Linked DNA regions of Mus musculus: all the other regions are reported to be linked to region 1. The links are microRNA targets in miRTarBase. Many come from high-throughput screens and were not tested one by one. Region 1 holds a microRNA gene; each other region holds the end of a gene's coding sequence. Distances are between the middles of the regions.

What was found. Region 1 holds the annotated microRNA mmu-miR-29a-3p (UAGCACCAUCUGAAAUCGGUUA, at 1,716-1,737, shown strand). A microRNA usually pairs through its seed, bases 2 to 8, with sites in the 3' UTR of a target mRNA and lowers its output. Matches are read on the target gene's strand: a 7mer-m8 pairs with bases 2 to 8, a 7mer-A1 pairs with bases 2 to 7 and ends in A, and an 8mer does both.
Region 2: the mRNA of Bicd1 is a reported target of mmu-miR-29a-3p. The part of its 3' UTR that is shown has no 7-base or 8-base seed match.
Region 3: miRTarBase lists Hif3a as a target of mmu-miR-29a-3p. The part of its 3' UTR that is shown has no 7-base or 8-base seed match.
Region 4: the mRNA of Col1a2 is a reported target of mmu-miR-29a-3p. Seed matches in the 3' UTR shown: 7mer-A1 at 1,249-1,255.
Region 5: miRTarBase lists Col1a1 as a target of mmu-miR-29a-3p. Seed matches in the 3' UTR shown: 7mer-A1 at 1,310-1,316, 8mer at 1,352-1,359 and 7mer-A1 at 1,530-1,536.

What each region holds. Positions count from the first base shown.
Region 1 is chr6:31,060,290-31,064,409 of GRCm38, reverse strand. Mir29a (microRNA 29a) reads left to right here and starts at 1,663; the gene lies at 1,663-1,750. Mir29b-1 (microRNA 29b-1) reads left to right here and starts at 1,317; the gene lies at 1,317-1,387.
Region 2 is chr6:149,549,610-149,553,729 of GRCm38, forward strand. Bicd1 (BICD cargo adaptor 1) reads left to right here. Exons shown (of 9, transcript NM_009753.4): 8 at 741-816. The coding sequence ends at 788. It overlaps Gm38931 (a long non-coding RNA gene), which reads right to left. Exons shown (of 3, transcript XR_869630.3): 2 at 1,291-1,400. Among named protein-coding and RNA genes, the nearest start is that of Gm38931, 2.8 kb to the right of the region's middle.
Region 3 is chr7:17,032,403-17,036,522 of GRCm38, forward strand. Hif3a (hypoxia inducible factor 3, alpha subunit) reads right to left here. Exons shown (of 15, transcript NM_001162950.1): 15 at 1-3,563. The coding sequence ends at 3,466. Among named protein-coding and RNA genes, the nearest start is that of Ppp5c, 6.5 kb to the left of the region's middle.
Region 4 is chr6:4,539,930-4,544,049 of GRCm38, forward strand. It overlaps Col1a2 (collagen, type I, alpha 2), which reads left to right. Exons shown (of 52, transcript NM_007743.3): 52 at 587-1,614. The coding sequence ends at 733. Among named protein-coding and RNA genes, the nearest start is that of Col1a2, 36 kb to the left of the region's middle.
Region 5 is chr11:94,951,187-94,955,296 of GRCm38, forward strand. Col1a1 (collagen, type I, alpha 1) reads left to right here. Exons shown (of 51, transcript NM_007742.4): 50 at 1-157; 51 at 287-1,856. The coding sequence ends at 433. Among named protein-coding and RNA genes, the nearest start is that of Hils1, 14 kb to the right of the region's middle.

The DNA of each region.
Region 1 (4,120 bases):
GGTGAAGTCCCATGCACACTGGCTACTTCACAGTCCCAGGGAATTGTTTGTTTCCTCGGGTAGGACAGCTTACTGTAATTATAAAGAAAAATGTTCTCCTTTTTTTTTTTTAATTTTTTATCTCAGTATTTCTTAAACAGTGCTGTGCCCCAGCAGCTGAGAGCAGAGCACCTGGCTGATCTTCTCTTTGCTTTCAAACAATTCAGTAAGAACCACATATGCCAGGGATAGGTAATAATGTAGATTATATATCTAAAGCAAAAAACGCTCAGTTGTTAATTCAGAAGGCACAAATACAGGAATTTGTTTGATTATCATTGAAAGTTAATGCCATGTAGTGAGCCCTGAAATTACATGGACTAAGCCGGCTGTAGTCACGTACTTAGGAGAATGTGTGTGTGTAACAGCAATTAAAAAGAGGCCATGGATTTGAGAATGAGCAGGAAGGGATAAAGGGGGAGAAAATGTTAATAATCATTTTAATGTCAGTACATTTGAAAAAAATATTTTAAAAAGAAATTTAACATACAACTTTTTAAAAAGGTATTCTTAAAAAGGACATTAACATTCTAATATCTGAAATGTTTCTAAATAGTTTTTTTTTTTTTTAAGGCCGTGGATGTGTAGTTATTGGAGTCCCTGACACATTCAAAAGAGTGACGGCAAACGGCCTGGCCTAGCAAGACCACATGTCAAGAGCTAATGGAAGGGAGACAAGAAAGAAGCCAGAAAGTCTCAGCACTCAGGAAGCAGAAGCAGGGCCTCTCTGAGTTACGAGGACAGCCAGGGCTACATAGTGAGACCCTGTTTAAAACTGTAATAGTAGTAGCAGTAGCAGCAGTACTGATGATAGTGATAATCTGTCAGATACCGAAGATTCAAAGCTTCACTTCTGGAGGAGAATTGAGTTAGCAAAAGACCTGAACTCACTACTGCAGTCTGGCAAAAGGGGGCAGGGTCTCATTAGCATCAGTGTGTTGCTTTGCCTTTGAGAGGATCCCAAATTGTGCTCACTTGTCGACTCTAACAGATCGATCTGGAAGTAAAAAGTGTCACGCTTATCAAAAGTGTGCTGAGCTCTGCCACGCTGCACCGTGAATGTGTAAGCCTCGTGCTCACTGTCCCACGTCTGCTCTCGGGTGAGGGCTCAGTTACCATTTGGAGGGAAGAATGCCATGAGTGACCGACATGTCACACCCCCACCCCCACCTGCTAGATGAGGTCAGCATAGGATCGCCTGAAATTAGGAACTATTGCACGGACTTCACCTTCCCTCTCCGTAGGAAGGCCACAAAAACAGACGACAAAGCTTCTTCAGGAAGCTGGTTTCATATGGTGGTTTAGATTTAAATAGTGATTGTCTAGCACCATTTGAAATCAGTGTTCTTGGTGGAGAACTACTTCGCTGCCGACCGCACAAAGAAATGAGTGTACAGCCCTGAAGTAAGTGTCCAGTGTCTAAAACAGGCTACCAGAGCCTGCCCTCGCCCACCCTGCTTACCTCTGTGTTATGGATAGCTGATTAGTCAACCACCGTTAGAATTGCATACTTGTTCATGTAATAAGCCTTCTCTGGAAGTGGACTCCACCATGCTCGGATGAAGACCTACATATACGACAGATTGAAGGCCTGGGCCTTCCCAGTGCACATGACCTCTTGTGACCCCTTAGAGGATGACTGATTTCTTTTGGTGTTCAGAGTCAATAGAATTTTCTAGCACCATCTGAAATCGGTTATAATGATTGGGGAAGAGCACCGTTCAGCTGACTACGTTATTGCTGACGTTGGAGCCACAGGTAAGAATTAAGAAACAAATACCAAAACATGCTAAGGTACATTTTCTTCCTATCTTAAACTTGACTTTCATTAACACGTGCCCCAGCAACAGCATGGTTAACTATTCACATAGTGATGGTGGGTGTGTTTTAGAAAGTGTGTATGGGTTGCAGATTTGACGGTAACTAGAGGATAAAGGGCCAAACCAATGACTGACCAGTCAATGTGAGAGGAGCAGGGGATATTTACTTCTATAAGGTTCTAACAGCTCACATAGGGATAGTCACCTAGCCTGCCTGACCACTGGCCATTGCATGGTTAGCTGTCCAGACCAGGAGAGCTATAAGTTAGATGTAACAGATGGTTCAGATAACTGGACCTGTGTCTGGGACTCAAGTAATAGGCATAAAAATAAGTGTGACAAACTCATGTCTGGTAGATGTGTCCAACCATTTACATTGCAATGCGATGTTGTCATCAACAAAGTTAACATTAGAGAATACAATGGGATTGCAAAAGATAATTTCGTGGGTTTTAAGTACACTTGTGATGTGTTGGACAGCATTCATAGCTATCCTGAGGGGAAGGGGGTGGGGTGGGGTGGCATGGGCCACAGGTTGGACACACCTAGCCTGTGGTATTTGTAGCCTTTCCAAGTGGTGCTTAAGGCTACATTTCCTCCTGGTTGAACTTTAACTAGACTTATAAATAAGGAAAATCAGATGAATCATACAAATGACTAAGCTTTGGCTAGATCTAAAAGGTTAGGCGAGATAGATTGTACAGTTTTTCCTTGGTAAACAAAACGGAACTCCTGCAGTAGACCTCGCTGCCCAGAACCCCAAATCCAAGTTTTCTGTGCTTGTGTTTCAGAATGAAAAGGCAAGCGGGCTGTTAGTATTGCTGAAGCGCTGCGTGTGTAAGTAATTCCTAACCCTGCTGCATCCCGACCTTCGTTCATAGCTCGTTCCTGTTGAGCCGAATGGGATCGCGTGTAGCCTCAGTTACTCCCGCATTACGCATTGTCCAAGTCAGCATCACGGCCTCGTAAAGCAGAAGAATGCGTTTGCTGCTGAGACTGAACAGCTTGGGTTGAACTGAAATGAAGAGGGAGTATACCACAGATACAGAATAGGAACAAAGTGACACAGCTACAGAAAACCCGAAGTGGAGCGTTTGAACCATTTTAGAGTATATAACACAAAGGCTCTTGAGCAAAGCTTTCATGGAGTTGTACAGATCAGCAAGGTCTAGTTCTCCTCACCTCGAAAGAAAACCTGAATCCAGGCATTCCTTACTCATTATGTACTTCCTGTCTCTGAGTGAAATCTGTTCTCTGTAGATTTACATGTTCTGAACATTTCACAGAATCACACCCTCTGTGAAATTCTCCATCCAGCTTAGTTCACTTAATGGGACGTTTTCATGGTTCTCTCACGGTGCGTTCATCCAAACTCGGTTCCCTTTTCATGACTAAATAATATTTCACTGTGTGGGCATGCCACATCTTGCTTATATACTTACCAGTTTGGCATTTAAATTGTCCTGTTCTGTTTTGTTTTTAAGTTTAATCTTCTAATATGATTCATGTGTTATATATCCACAGACTGCACTGGATTAGCACTGAGCCCTATAGCAATAAGTAGCTGTCCACTGCCGCACCTATATTTTCCCATTAGCTGTATCCTCAACTTTTATCTGTGTCTTCTGACTGCCTACATTTAAAGCGTTGCGCTGCTCTTCTTTCATTCTGACTTTCTTCCCTGCTCCCTCCCCCATGTGAGGATTTAACTTTAACAACCCTCATTCCCCCTTAAAGCAGCCGTTCCATTGACCCTCACAATCCAATTACAGCCCAGGTGAAGTCAAGGACTAGTGAACAACCCGGCCGCAAAAGGCCAGGTAGACAGCTGTCATGAAGAACCTGAGGTGCACATGAGTACACACATGCACATAGAAGAACTAGTGTTGGTAATGGGGAATATTGGTAATATAGAGAGGGATTTTTTTGTAGCCCACCCATACAGATTCACATTCCTTCAGAAACCTTATTAAATTCTGAGATGAGTAACTATCATTTTAAACGTTGTTTCCCTGAACTTTCCCATGCACTCCTCATAGCGACTGTGGAGCTTTCAGCTTCCCTCCCAGCGTGCTGGGACAGGCTTTGGTTTCTCGGAGCCCAGCTTCCTCCCACACTGGTCTGGGTGAGTGCCTTTCTCAGCTCTCTGGTTCCCTTGCTTCCTTCCTGGGCTAAATACATTCCAGGTCCTCATCTCTTTAATCCTCTCAGCCAGCTCCTGTCTGAGAGTCTGTCAGCCAGCTCCTGTCTGAGAGTCTGTC
Region 2 (4,120 bases), 120 Mb from region 1:
AATTGTTGATTAACATAATAACAAGTTATAAAATTTATTTAATCTAATGAGAGTTATAGTATGTGATTTTAAAGTAATAAAAACAAAACAAAGTGAGCACCATTAATAAGGCTGGTTTCCTTCATCAGTCCTGTTTATTAAAATTTTATTATATAATGAATCATCTAAGATTTCTGCTAGCAATTCTTTTCAACACATACAATCAATTTCCAGAAAACTGTAAATATAATTTTCTTGTTTAATTTCTTGTTAATAAAATATTGTTTGGCTTTCTCAAAATATCTGTGTTTAACAATATTACTATATGCCCTGACAATAAAATCTATTTCCTGAATATATTTCATTTTAGAACAGCATATCTGTTTGCTAATTAAATAATCAGCATTATGTTCAAGTTCAGGAGTTAGAATTTTTAATATTAATAGATTCTGATTTTAGAGTAATCAAAACACCAAATATGAATGGCCATAGGACATAATGTACTATTAAAATCTTGCTACTAATTTTATGTCATTAGTTTTTTTCTAAGACATTAATTAAAAATTCAGTCTTTTCTATTGGCATTAGTCAAGGAAAAAAACACACCCACAAAAGAAAAAAAAAAAACCACACTTAATCTAGATGTTTCTAAGTAAACGTTCCCGTTCCTCACTAAATCTCAGGCAGCTGATTTAGTTACTGTTGCTAACACCATTGTGTCATCTCTTTGTATACATGTCTAATTTATTAGTTTCTTGTAGATTGTCAGCAGCCTGCTGCCTCCGTACCGCCACAGTGCTCACAACTAGCTGGGAGGCAAGACTACCCAACGGTCAGGTAAATTCACAGGTCCTTCCTTCTCCCACCAGCTGCATGTCAGCTCCCCTTCCCAAGACCATAACTACCTATGCATCTTTATGTTATTGCATGTTTTTCATGAATTGGCTACATGACTTCACCCTTGTTCATATTTCCAATGAGCATGCACAGGAGTTAGTGCTATGTCATCAACCACTAGTTGATAGAATAGAGGCTGCTTCATTTCCCCTTTGTGAGAAAATACTTGAATTATTCCAGTGTTTCATTGCCTCCAATCTTAAACATGTAATTGTTAAGTTATTTGACCTACTTTTCTTTTACTTTTTTGTCCTTCAAATACAATTCTCAGGTAAACAAACAGGGAAAATATATGAAATTATATATAAAACTTATCTGATGTCCATTCTAGGACAGTTTTAATGGTTTCCATTTTCTGTTTACTCAGTCCCATTGTTAAAACTGAATTGAAAAGCCATTTGTGGTAGTACATACCTGTAATCTGAGCAGTTTGGAGGCTGTGGTAAGAGGTGGAGTTTGAATCAGAATGAGGTATATAGTGAGTTCAAGGCCAGCTTTTGATACAGAATAGCTGTCTTCAAAATCTATAAAAGAAAAAGAGGAAAGGAGGAAAATGGAGAGAAAAACTCAAATCTGAATTCCCAAAAGAATATTTGCAGTGATTATTTTCCCTTTATCTGAAATGAAGTGTTTTAAAGGCATGTTTAAAACTTCCTTGAGCCAGGCAGTGGTGGTGCATGCCATTAATCCCAGCACTTGGGAGGCAGAGGCAAGCAGATTTCTGAGTTCAAAGCCAGCCTGGTCTACAGAGTGAGTTCCAGGACAGCCAGAGCTATACAGAGAAACCCTGACTCAACAAAACAAAACAAAACAAAACAAAACAAAACAAAACAAACAGGAAAAAAAACTTCCTTGAGTTCCTAGGCACTGAGAGGAGAGTTTGCTGACAGTTCATATTTGATTTTTAAGCTGTCCAAAACAGTTTCTAGTTCCCTCCATCCTAAGTGACTACCCACGGCCTAGAATCATCCCATCAGAACTTTCTCATCTCCACAGTGTCTTTCATCCTCATTTACTTGGTTTCTGTTGGTACCAAGCCTCTGGAATCTGGATATGATCTTTAGAGTCTACTTACTAATATACATAAATGTATCTTTTGTTCTCCTACCAGAGGAGGGTTTGTATCAAGCAAGGATCAGCTCAAACATGATTCCATGTGTGTGTCTAAGATGAGTAGCTGTTATTTGCAGACTATATGTATTCTTGCCTTTGCTGGATAATCACCAATACAGAAACAATATATCCAAAGCTAGTATGTTATGTGGTCTATTGCCTAAGTAAGTAGAACACTGCCCCCAGTGTTGTAGACTGAACCTGTGCTCTCTCATATGTTAGGTCAAGGGGTCTACTACTGAGCTGCATTCCCAGCCCCCAAAGTACATTGATAAATAGTCACTAGACAGTGTCTTCTGATTAATGTCTCTTAGAAAGCTGATCAATACCACTTCAAGTAAGAGGATATTTATCTCAGAACTATTTTATTTATCTCAGAACTATTTTCTTTTTTTTTTATTTATTGACTTTATTTTTTATGTGTATTCTGTTTGTATATATTTATGTACACCACATGTATGCATGGTACTTGGGGAGGTCTGAAGAGGGCATTGGATCTCCTGGAAGCAGAGTTAGAATGGTTGTGAAGTACCATGTGGGTACTGAGAATTGAACCTAGGTCCTCTGCAAGAATAACATATACTCTTAATTACTGAACCATCTCCCCAGCCCCTCAGAAATGTTCTTTACTAATGTATTGATGGCATTTATAGTAGTAGCCAGTTCTGTATAATTTCAATTATATAAGTAACTGAATATTAGTATGAATGCTCAAGTTGATCTGAGAGGGATTTTATAGTATAGTATAGTGTTTGGAGACCCGGACACCTGTAGTCTAGATTCCACAAAGCAGCCTCCCTCAATTGGGGCACTAGGGTAGTGTCAATGCAGTACAGATGCTCCATGAATGCAGACTACATGTGTGAGTAAATGGGCTTTGGAGTCAGACTTCTACCTTGTAATTCTACCTCTTACATACCTACATGTGTAATCTTGGAAAATTGCTTCTGTTGGCAATGATGATGATGATTTATAAAGTAAGGAAGAAAATGGACATTGGAGGAATTCAATGATGAAGGGCCTGACATGTCTGCCCTGTCTGCTGTTAGCACTAACACTTTGTACATTGCCATCCCTGACCAAAATTTTGTTTATTTTGTGACAAATCTAGTTTTCTTGGACAGAGTTGTAATACTACTGCTTTAAGAATTTCCATGGGCTGGCGAGATGGCTCAGCGGATAAGAGCACTGACTGCTCTTTCAATGGTTCTGAGTTCAAATCCCAGCAACCACATGGTGGCTCACAACCATCTGTAATGAGATCTGACGCCCTCTTCTGGAATGTCTAAAGACAGCTACAGTGTACTTACATATAATAAATAAATAAATCTTTAAAAAAAAAAAAAAGAATTTCCATAAGGCAGTAGTGCAGATGTATTCCTTCTGTTCTGAGATTACTAAATTTAGGTGCTTCCTGTCTCCATGGGGGGTGATTTGTTGAAAGAAAAACAATTTAGAGAATTACAGACACCCTAGTTTCTATCCAAGTAGACATAGCATATCCAAAGCAGACTTTTCTTTCTTTTTATAGTTCACTCAAAGAAATTATTAATGCGTAGAGGTTTGAAAGGAGTCCTCTTCAGGGTGGCTTGGGTTCTGAATGGTTTCTGCTGTGAGAGGATCAGAGTCAGTTCTGCACTGCCCTCTTACTCCTTCTGGGCAAGAAGGGCAATATACAACCAACATTAGAACTCTTACTGGGTACCAGGCAAGGGTAAATTCTTCACATGTGTTAGTCATTGCGATTCCTGTATAAGCTAAACAGCTATTATACTTTTCTAAAGGAAGAAGTCTAGGTTTAGGCAGACAAAACAACTGTCAGGTGCCACATATTTTTTTAATACAATTGAGCCAAGTGACCTAACACCTATTCCCTGTCCATTGTAGAGCATGGCTGCACCTCAGATAAGGAACCAGTCATTGTACCTACAGTTGGTAAAAGAAAGCCTGTTTAAGTTATGCTGACTCAGTTTCTTTCAATTGAAAAGTGGATTCTCAGTGAAACATGAGAAAATTTTCTAGGAATGCTGAGTGAGTTCAGATCAGCTGAGTTTCTCATTTTGAAAAAAAAAGTTTACTTCCCTCCTGTTTATATGTATATATTTATGTAATTTTTGTAACTTTTTTTAGT
Region 3 (4,120 bases), not on the chromosome of region 1:
GTCACGCACAAAGCTGGGGTTCATCCCTGGCACCACACAAAGTGAGCAAGCTGCTGGACACCTGCAATCGCAGCATTTGAGAGGCAGAGGGAAGAGGGTCACAAGTTCAAGGTCATCTCTGGCTCTATAGTGAGCTGGAGGCCAGTCAGAGCTGCATGTCATCCAGCCCATTCCTGGGGAAAGAAAAGCCCCCAAACCAAGGTCTAGAATCCACAGGGATTTTAGGATCTTAAATCTAGAATCAAGATTGGGGTTCTAAGGCTTAGAACTAGAGAAATATAGAAGGCAAGATATCCGCTGATATTTTCAAACTCTGTTCTAGATTCAGGGTACTTTGAGTTGTTAAGATCTGAAGTAAAGAGGACTGGGCAATTGTGGGGTCTAGAACCAAAGAAACTCATGGGATAGGTCTAGATGCAGAAGACATTTATAGAGGCTGGGTGTAGCTCAGTTGGTAGAGTACTTGCCTAGCATGCATGAAGCTCTGGCTTCAGTCTCCAACACCACATACAACTAGGCATGTCTGTAACCCCAGCACTTGGTGGGGTGGGTGAAGGGGTATCACGGATTTAAAATCATTTGGCTACATAGCAATTTTATGGTCAATGAATTTAAGACACTGTCTCAAAACAGTAACAAACCCCAGAAGATATTTGCTGTTTGTTTTGTTCTGTTTTGTTGATTTTGAGACAGGGTTTCTCCATGTAGCCCTGGCATCCTGGAACTTGCTCGATAGATCAGCTGGCCTCAAACTTAGAGATTTGCCTCCTTCTGCTTCCTAAGTGCTAGGATCAGAGACGTGCACCACCACTGCCCACCTTGATATTTGAAGCTCAGTAATAGGCAGATCACCAGAGCATCTGAGAACAGAGGATCCTGGAAGTTTCGGGGTCTAGAGTTTACATAATCTAAAACATGGGTAATGATTAAAGGTAATGAAATCCAGAACCCAAAAGAATGGGCACGTGGTATGTGGTTCCAGAAAGGCCAGATCCAAGTTCAAGACATAAAACTCACTCCACTCCTCCTTACTGGGGGAAAGCACAGGGGTCTGAAGAACAATAAACTCGACATCATGAGGTTTGGAACCAAAATGATCTAGAAATCAGGTCTGGATTTGAAACCAACTGTCTTACAGATTAGAAAGACCGGAGCTAATAAGAAGCTTGGAGTTGGGGAATCCAGAAACAAGAGGAGATCGCCAATTATAAGATTAGCTGGCCCCAGTCTCAAAGGCCTGTAATTCCCAGCTACTCGGGAGGCTGAAGCAGGATGAGTTCAGGGTCTATCTGAACAGACTTGAGTTCAAGGTTAGTCTGTGCAACCAATAAAGATCCTGTCTCAAAATAAGACATAAGACAGGACTGGGGAAAGCTCCGTGGTAGAGTGCTTGCCTAGCACGTGCAAGGCCTGAGGTTTAATCCTTGCTACTACACACACCAATGGTCTGCAATGACAGGCAGCAGAGGGCATGAGAACCAGAGGATTTTTAAGAAGAGGCCTAGAACCAGAGGAAATTACAGAATAAGCCTTGAAGCTAGAGGATTCTTGGTGGTTGTAGGCTTTAGATCCAGAGAGCTTTACAGATTATGTAATTCAAACCCCACTTTAAAATGGCAGATTGGGAGCTGTGAGATCCAGCCCAAGAAAGAACTAAAGAGTATGAGATGTGGAAGTAGAGGGGTTTGAAGAAATTGAGGTCTTTAACAGACCATGTTGGAAATGATGCTGTCTAGAACCAGGGGGGAAGCCAATGATAACACAGTGTAGAACCAGGGGGAAGTCAATGACAGCACAGTCTAGAACCAGGGAATGCCAGAGAAGGCTAGTGGTCATCTAGTTTAGAACCAGTGAAGACCAGAGGCAGCATAACCTAGAATCAAAGAAGCTCATAGGCTGTAGAGTCTAGAACAGCAGCTCTCAATCTGTGGGCTGTGACCACTTTGAGGATCAGATATCAGATATCCTGCATACCAGATATTTACATTATGATTCATAACAGATGCAAAATTACAGTTATGAAGCAGCAATGAAATAAATTTATAGTCAGTGGTCACTACAACATGAGAAACTGTATTAGAGGGTTGCAGCATTAGGAAGGTTGAGAACCCCTGTTCTAGAACCACAGAAAACCAGAGGGCCTAAAGTCTAGAATCAGAGAAAAGGCCAGAGAAGTGGCATGGTCTAGAACCAGAGCCAGGTCCAAAGGCCTGCAGTCTAGAGTCAGGTAAAAGACTGGAGACTGTACAGACTAGAACTAGAGAATGTCAGAGATTGAACAGTCTAGAACAAAAGAAGGCAGGAACAACACAGTTTAGAACCATGGAGGCCAGAGGCCACAGTGTCTAGAACAAGGGAAGGCCAGAGGTCATGAGTCACAAACTAGAGGAGACCACTGGTGGTACAGTCTACAGCCAATGAAGCTCACAGGTTTCACATTCTAGAAACAGAAAAAAGATGAGAAATATGGAGTCAGAGAGCCAGGGAAAAGCCATGGATTGTATGTTTTAGAACCAAGAAGTAGAAAGTCTAGAATCAGAGAACCCAGAGATCTCTAGAACCAGAGAAGGCCCAAGGGTTTTCAGTCTAGAGCCAACAAAGACCAGGAGCTACATGTCTAGGTGCAAGGAAGAGAGAAAGTGGTATAGCCTAGGTCCAGGGAAGGCTAGAAGTTGCACAGTCTACAAACAGTAAAGGTGGGAGTCAAGTATTCAAGATCCAGAGATTATAGGTCTGTGGAGTGGAGGAAGTCGCTGGCTCCCCCTAACACAGGAAGATCACAAATGAAGTCATTATTTAGGCAGCGTCTGGGGCCAGCATGAAGTCAGGAGCAGACATGGCAAGCAGAGCTGGGGGGCAGTTGGAAGGCTGAGACTCCATAAGTTGTTTGAGGTGAAATCTGACCCAGAGTCTTCCCACATTTGCCACGGAAGAGGGGGAAGACCAGAGTCTCACAATTGCTGTGGATCTGTGCAATGCAGAGTGACTGAATGCCCTATTGTGAAAAGGACAAAGTCAAGCCGATAGAAGAGGAACAGGGAGAAAACAAAAAACAAACAAAAAAACCAAAACAACAACCAAAAAATGTGATTACAGTTGTCTAAGCTCCATGGGGCCAGGATCAGAGATGGATCTCCGATTCTCCCAACCCCTCATTCTCCCAAATAAAGCAAAGAGAGTCAGAAAAAGGGGTATTGAGGTATGGAGAACTGTGGAGAACCCCAAAGGAAGTCCTGAGAGGAGGTGGGGAGGGTCACACACCCCTCCCAAAGGTCACTGAGCTGAGAATACCCAAGAAGCCTCCGACTGGGGGCAGCAGAAGGTTGGGGGGCTGAGGTAGGACTGTGGCTGGCTGGGGGGGGCACACTCAGAGGAGAGAGGCCCCATCCTGGGTGTAGGCTGCTGGTGTGGAGTGTGGCTGAGTCCTTTCTGGGATAGAAGAAGAGGGCTGAGAGGAAGGCTGACTCAGTGGGTCTGGCCCAAGCCTGCTGCTGGCGGGAAGCGGTTCCTGGGCTGGACAGTTTCCTCATGCTGGCAGAGAGAGAGCAGCGAGGGAGCTAGGCCTGCAGAGAAAAGGGAGGCGAATCAGGAGAGAATCAGCACCCATATACGTACGTGCATCTAAGGCAGGGAGGCAGGCTGGCAAGATGGCTCAGGGGGTTCAGGTGTTTGCTGCAAACCTTGACAATCTGAGTTCAGTCCCTAGAAACCATAGACAGGTTGGAAGGCAAGAACAGGCCACTGGGTTCCATCCCCAGGACCCACCAGAGGCTCCAAGAGAAGCCAAAGCTTTTGGTAGCTGAGGGAAAAATCTCCATAAAAAGGCAAACAAGCCGAAAGGCTGCAGAGCCAGCACTGCCCCACCCTGCAGCCACAGAAGGAGGTGTTTCTCGGACACTTACTACAGGACAGTTCTTGGGTGAATTCTGCCCATGCAGCATCTCCACAGTTCATGTCTCCAAACAGGCTCTCCAGGGAAGAACTGTAGCCATAGCCCCCACTGACAGATAGAGGAGCCGAGGCTTCACAAGCAGCCGACCCAAAACCTCATGGCTGGGAGTTACCTTGTGGAGCTATCTTAACCTGGCTAAGCTCTGAAGTGGACTTGTATCTGGGTCCA
Region 4 (4,120 bases), 27 Mb from region 1:
CCCACACAGTCCCTGCTTTCCTCTCAGCATTTAGAGTTCCTATGTATTAACATATACCAAGAATTTAAAACTTATTGAGGTTTAAAATGCTTCAGTTGCACCTTAGAATATGGCTACATTCAATTTTTCTGTAGACTTTTACCTATATAAAAGAGTATATGTTTTATATAATATGCTCTAAGTTAGAATAAAGTTTTAAGTGTAAAATTACTGTATACCTACCCAATTCTCTATACATACACAGACATACACACAAGATGCATACACACAACATACAGAAACACACACCACACACATACAAGATATGCAAACACACCATACACACATACACACACCATACACTCACCTTGAAAAGAATATGTATCCAAACATATTTGAAACTTATCCTAAAGAAGTTATCATTCCCTGAAAGACATCCTTGACACTGTCTGTCTACAGTGAACGTCTTAATCAGGAACCCCTATCTTCAGAAAGTGTTGGCTGCCGAGAAATGGCTTTCCTAGACCCCGATGCTTAGATATAAGTCAGGTGCAGCTATACTGGTCTGATGTATTTTCCTTTTTTCCCATTTTTTTCTATTATACAGAAAAAGACAAATGAATGGGGCAAGACAATCATTGAATACAAAACAAATAAGCCATCTCGCCTGCCGTTCCTTGACATTGCACCTCTGGACATTGGTGGTGCTGACCAAGAATTCCGTGTGGAGGTTGGCCCCGTCTGTTTCAAATAAGTGAACTCAACCTAAATTAAAAACCAAAAACCCCTGAAAAAACTTTCTCTTTGCCGTTTCCTCCTTTAAAAAAAAAAACAAAAAACAAAAACTGAAAGCTGAATCCTTCCATGTCTTCTATGCATCTACATCTTAAACTGTGGGCAAAAGAGAAGGATTGGTCAGAGCAGTGTGCAATATGATCCAACTAAGTCTCCTCCCTTGGCCCCTCCCCAAAATGTTTGCAGTGTTATTTTTGTGGGTTTTTTTTTAACACCCTGACACCTGTTGTGGACATTGTCAACCTTTGTAAGAAAACCCAAATAAAAATTGAAAAATAAAATAAAAAGAAACCCATGAACATTCGCACCACTTGTGGCTTCTGACTATCTTCCACAGAGGGAAGTTTAAAACCCAAACTTCCAAAGGTTTGAACTACCTCAAGACACTTTGCAGTGAGTGTAGACCATCCCAATGAGAGTTGACCAAGGCTGACACGAACTGAGGTACTTGTTTTGTTTTGCTTGCAACACAAAGGTGCTAATTAGTAGTATTTCAGATACTTGAAGAATATGAACGGTGCTGGAAGAATTACAGAAGAAACAATCCTCCACATTGATGTGCATTGTGTGTGATTTTTAAATTTGACTTAGCAGTCCTCTTTCTCATCTTATCCCCAACTACAGGAATGCAGGCCACTTGCCCCAGGTTCTCTCTTCATTAGATTCAGCATTCATTCTTTAACAGCCTCATTTTCCTTCTTGCCCATGGTTCCAAAGAAGTCTTGTTTCTTGGACAAGCAGAAAAATTGAATTGTACCTATTTTGTATATGTGAGATGTTTAAATAAATTGTGAAAAATAAAATAAAGCATTTTTGGTTTTCCAAAAGAAAATATTGAGTAAAATTCCTTGCTTTGATGCTCATTGCCATATGAATCTGCATCTCTACCAGCCATTAGAACAAGTAAACCTCAGTGGAAAGAAATTATACAGTAATAATAATTAATAATAATAATAATAATAATAATAATAATAATAATAATGTAGAAAGATCTCAGAACAAGGAAGGACTCAGGAAGAAACTCAGCTCCAGTTTCTGCCATGTTCCTTGGAGCTAAGTGACCTTCAGCCTCTGTGCCTGGGTTTCTGCTTCCAACCTGGTAACATGGAGAGGAATTCTATTCTTCACTGTGACGCATCTGTGACTCCTCAGAATGCATAGTACCTAAGCAACATGATACTCTTGATCTCTGTTTTCTCTAAGCAAAGGTCCACAGAAACTTTTGCCTCATTATCCATCAAGCACTTTGTAACTATGGCTGAAAGTTGGTCTATGCACAATTAATATTATTAACTAAAACAGTTTCAAATAGTCAGTAAAAATGCCACACAGTTAAATATGCTGCAACTGAGTACAATGCCTGTTAAGAGGTAATGTGTGTGCTGTCAATCAGCACAGACAGTTGTGGATAATAGTACCAAGAACACCTACCTGCCAAATCAAGTTCATTTTCCTCCCCTGCACCTTTCAATGACATCTTTAACACACTTAAACATAGTAATGTGTCAAGTAAAATGTTAAGATTCATTTAGAACTTATCCCCTGTTGCAGAACGTAATTGTTATTGTAATATTTGCCTCCTGTTATAAGTCATCTCAAGATTCAATTAGTTTAAAAGCAAAAGACCGAACATGAGGAAAAATTTAACACTAACTCTAAAAAGTTAGCAAGGTCTACTAACCAAACAGTACTATCAGGTCAGGTCTTCCTCCCACTAGAATCTGAGCACTGGGATACTCAGATGGGAGCACAAGTACACAGCCATTGCCCCTCGTCCAGATCCCCTGTGGAGTCGGTGATTGTACTGCCTGTGCAATTCTGATTCCTGTACCAAGGAGGTAACTCAAGTCTCTGCATGCCCTTGATGTCTCTAACATTCCATGTCTGACAAGCTTGAGTCGATGTAGCCAATCACACAATATAAAGAAAACTCAAACTCTGTCATCAAAACGCTGTAACGCCCTCAAATTAATCATTGGAATAGCAATGGCAAAGTTATAAAGTGATAAAATTGTTAGAAGTCTCTGGGCTGAATATAAGTATGGCTTCTGGCTTGTGATATGAGGAAGAGAACCAGCATTTTGTGAGGACAAACTGTGGCTCAAATACACATTAGAATAGTTACATCTGAGTCTCTTCTGCCAACAGATTTCCAAGCTAACAGTCTCAATAATCACTCTATCTCCACTGCATCATCACTACATAAAAGGAGGAAATAAATAACATTTAATAGAAAACAGTGTTATGTTCAAAATACTAATAAAAAAATTAAAGTTTTGATTCCCAAATAACAATTATGAGGATGGTTAAACAAAAGAAAACCTGCTTTCAAAAGCCTGTCTTTACAGATCTATTTAAACATGCTTATAAAAATACCAAGAGTTGGTGCTTGCAGGACAATTATGTCAAGATGGGTTTTTTAGTCCTACATTTTCCAAATTTACTATAATATAATTTCATGATCTGTACAATTTACAACAAATTGTCTCAAAAGAAATTACTAGCAATCTTGATGGAAGAGTAGTCATCTCTAAGAATGAGATATCTACCATCCCACTCAGCTTCTTCCTGAGACAACGAGGAGAGCTTACCTGGTCTCTAGCATGTGCCAGTTCACCTGAGCAACACTAGGAAGGATGCCCAAAGCTGGCTACACCTCCTCTGAGAGCAGGGTCCTTAAGGTTTATCCAGCTCACTTGCTAAGACAGAATAAACCTATGTATGAGTAGTATTTTAGACAAAGTTCCATGTCAGGATAACAGGACAGTATCAGTTAGAGGGCCTCATACAAATCTCAGTCTCACACAAAACAGTGACATTTGGCCAACTGGCCTCTTCTACAGATTTCACTCCTCCTACAGGCCCTCTCTGGATAAATGCTTCTGTTTAGAAACCACTTATTAGAACAATCCAGTACTTACCAGTTGGTCCATCGTGAATATTCCTAGAGTCTGGGCTAAGAAAATGGCTACAGAGTTATGTCCAGAAGATTTGACCCTCCCATGGTCTGTCATCTGTTCCAAGCTAATCGCAGCTCTAACTGATTCTTCGCAGGACTTTCTCTGACCCTTTGCCAAGTGAAGTTTTAGCCACCTCCACCCTGAATGTGAGAGAGAAGAAAGTGGCACAGGAGAGGAGGATCCTGGGAGGGGACAGTAACCAAGTCATTTAAAATTCTAAATCAGCATAGTTAGCATACTGGCCAAGAGTAGACACCCAAGCAACACAAGGTGCATTCGGCATCTTTCATGCCAAAAAAACTTTTTAAAAATGCTATTCTCCCTAATATCATTGACAAGGAATTTCAGAAATTGGATTATAGATAAGGAAAGTTGGGATGTCATTC
Region 5 (4,110 bases), not on the chromosome of region 1:
GAACATCACCTATCACTGCAAGAACAGCGTAGCCTACATGGACCAGCAGACTGGCAACCTCAAGAAGGCCCTGCTCCTCCAGGGATCCAACGAGATCGAGCTCAGAGGCGAAGGCAACAGTCGCTTCACCTACAGCACCCTTGTGGACGGCTGCACGGTGAGTCCCCCAGACTGGGTCCAGCCTGTCTCTTTGGGCATCTGGTTTAGCCTTCTGGCAGAACAGAGTGAGCCTCACTTCATTCCTACCTTGGTAATGACCCTCTCCCGCTGTCTTCATTCACACCAGAGTCACACCGGAACTTGGGGCAAGACAGTCATCGAATACAAAACCACCAAGACCTCCCGCCTGCCCATCATCGATGTGGCTCCCTTGGACATTGGTGCCCCAGACCAGGAATTCGGACTAGACATTGGCCCTGCCTGCTTCGTGTAAACTCCCTCCACCCCAATCTGGTTCCCTCCCACCCAGCCCACTTTTCCCCAACCCTGGAAACAGACGAACAACCCAAACTCAATTTCCCCCAAAAGCCAAAAATATGGGAGATAATTTCACATGGACTTTGGAAAACATTTTTTTTCCTTTGCATTCACCTTTCAAACTTAGTTTTTACCTTTGACCAACTGAACGTGACCAAAAACCAAAAGTGCATTCAACCTTACCAAAAAAGAAAAAAAAAAAAAGAATAAATAAATAACTTTTTAAAAAAGGAAGCTTGGTCCTCTTGCTTGAAGACCTATGTGGGTATAAGTCCCTTCCTGCCCACTTGGCTTATGATACCCTAATGCTGCCTTTTCTGCTCCTTTCTCCACCCCCTCTTGGGGCCTCTCCTCCATTGCTCCCCAAATTTAAGTCTCCCCCAAGACACAGGAAATAATGCATTGTCTGCCCAGCAAACAAAGGCAATGCTGAAATGTCCCACCAGCCCCTCAACCCCGTCTACTTCCCTACCCAGCACCCTCAAATCCTGCTGGGACATGGGGTTCTTGGACTGTTGAAGGAACCTAACCATCTGGCATCTCCATGGCCTCTGCAACAAACCCCCCACTTTTTTCTCTCCCCCCCCCCCCAGGGAGGGCCTGTGCTTTGGGCAGCCACCTGCCCCTCTCAGGGGTTTGGAGCCAGGCAGGGTCACAGCAGACTGGAAACATCGGACATGCATGTGCAGGCTGGGTGGGAGAGACCGTTCTATTCCTCAGTGCAATTGTGTTGCTGAAAGACTACCTCGTTCTTGTCTTTGTGTGTCACCGGGGCAACTGTGTGGGGGCGGGGATGGGGGCAGGGTGGCAGCACGCCCAGTTTGGTATCAAAGGTGCTACATCTCTGTGAAGGGGTGGGGTGGGAAGGAATTTCTGGTGCTATAGAAGCTGAGATGCTCCCTAGACCAGCAAATGTTTCTTTTGTTCAAAGTATTTTTTATTCTTTTTTTTTTTTTTTTTAATGGATAGGGACTTGTGTGAATTGTTGGGGTTTTTTTTTTTTTTTTTTTTGGTTTTGTTTTTTTTTGTTTTGTTTTGTTTTTTTTCCTGAAGGTGCTATTTAACAAGGGAGAAGAGAGTGCGGGGACTTCACCCTGCCCACTCTCTACTCTCTCTCCACTCTTCTAGTTCCTGGGCCTATCTGATCTCTCTCTTTCTTCTGAAACCCTCCCCTCTTGCTGCTGCTCCCTCCCCTCTGCCTCTCTCTTGGTCTGTCCTGCATCAGGGTTTCAGAGCACCACTTTCCAAAGCACAAAACAGTTTTTACCCCTGGGCTGGGAGGAAACAAGAGACTCTGTACCTATTTTGTATGTGTATAATAATTTGAGATGTTTTTAATTATTTTGATTGCTGGAATAAAGCATGTGGAAATGACCCAATGCATGTGCAGTGGCCTCTGAATTTCCTTCCTGGGACGTGGGGAGGTGGGGATCCAGGGACAGGGCTCTGGGATGGGGGACTTGCCTTCTACCCCTGCCCTTTCTCTCTCCCTCACTTCTCATCCAGATATTGCCACCTTCCTCTCTTGCCTGTCTTATGCCTTAGACCTTTTTTCTTGCCTCTTTTACCTTTTCCTCTTTCCAGTCTTCCTTGTGCATCCCCAGATCCCCAGCTTCACCAGTTCAATCATCCCAGGTGCACAGCATTGCGGACATGCTCGCACGTACTTCATTCCCAGATCTCTCTCTCTCTCTCTCTCTCTCTCTCTCTCTCTCTCACACACACACACACACACACACACACACATACACACACACACACCTCAGGCCCGCCATCCCAACAATACATCACATCTCCATGCTGCAGACCTGAGGCCTGGGAGGTGTTGCCCATGGATCCTGGGAGGTTCATGAGCCCTCAAAGGGATTCAAGCAGCAGAAACAGGGACTGAGACATGGAGGACCAGGTTGCTCCTTGGTCACACATGGAGGGGTAGCTGGCCTCTCCCCACCTCTAGCCCAAAGAAACCATAATTTAGTATAGAAGGGGCCTTCTAATGCTGGGGTGTCACAAGGAGGATGAGAATTTCTTGGGTCACCCTTGATCTCACCAGAGAGAGGTGCCCAGCCCTCAAGGAACTCTCCCCGGGGGATCTTAGAGAGCTGTGGTGGAACTTCCGGGGTGTCACCAGAAAGGACAGGACCCCACATCACAGAGGTGCCCGGGACGATAGCATGCTGGCTCGGTACAGGGAGCCCGTGGAATTGTTCCCCCCTTCTTCCTGCCCCCTTCTTTCCTTTTCCTTTATCCCCAAAACTTTTTGCTTTTTCTTCTTCCTTTTCCCTCTCTCCCTCTGTCCATCTGAGAACCTGAGGCCCTAGAGGGATGGTAACTAATTGTCCCCCACATCTCAGAGAATGGGGACGGTGACATAGTAGAAGGCCCGAGAATCCAGCAGGCAGAAGTCTGGGGTGAACCAGACAGTAGACATAAGGACACAGATGACCCCTTTCACTCGGGGAGACAGGTCTCAAATTTGAAAGGAAGGAACAGGCCATTTGTAGCTTCCCTCTCTTGTGCTACCAGTCTACTGTGGCACCCATAGGACACGTTCATATGGTCACGGAGTATCCAAGACTATTAATGATGGCCTTTAATAATTTATTATTAGCACTTTGCATGAGGACAACGTGAAAGGAAAATTTATCTAGAGAGGAAAAGAAGTTAGGGAATGTAAAGATCTATTCAGACACAAATTATCCAAACTCCTGTAGTACTGATAGACCCACTGATTGACACGTTGATTGGGTAAAACCTTTCTTCCCAGGCATCACCAGTCTTGGGACTCTTCCTGGCTAGACCCTATCTCCTCCCATCCTCACAGGGTCCATCCTTCTGAACTCAGCATCCGAGCTGTACCTGGCCACTGCTCGCTTGTCTGAACTTACTGTCTCCTCCACGAGCCCCCATCTGTCATACCAGACAAAGGGTGTGACTGTAATTTCTACACATATAACCCTCCTTCTCATTTTATTTCCCTCCGTATTCCTGGCATAATGTCCCCTCTCTCTACTGACTAATCCCTCATCCTCCAAGGGCAGGTTTCCTCCCCTCTTCCCTAACCAAGCCCTCTGAGGTCCCAACACACCATCAGCCCATTAGCCGGTATGTTATTACCAGGCTCCCGTGGTCATGGTCCACTATGTTCTTTTCAGGCCTGACAATTCTGTGCAGGGCTGGGCACAGTCTCCATAGGTACCAGGGAGAGGCAAGATGGTGAGAGAGGTCCTCCGGAGGATATAAGTACAGAGCTGTGGAAAGGTGAGGGTGAAGGTGAGAGGAAGAACAAACAAACTAGCCAAGAAAGGGAGCAAATGACAGCTTCCTGGCGTGACAGGTAGTCAAGCACTTGAAATGTGTCTCCCCGTGATAAAGGACAGTAGTCCTAACTTGTACTACTGCAATCATTAATTAATTAATTAATTAATTAATAGCTACAAATGGGCTGAAGGAAACAGAACTCCAGACAAAGGAGCGAATAACTTCTCACTGTGCGCCTGAAAATCTATACATATACATACATGTACACACGTGGATATACACAAGGGCATGTGCACCTTGTGATAGGCCTTGTTTGCAGCACCCCGCAGCGGCTGTCACGTGGCATGGGCTGGTATGTGCTCTAAATGTGTG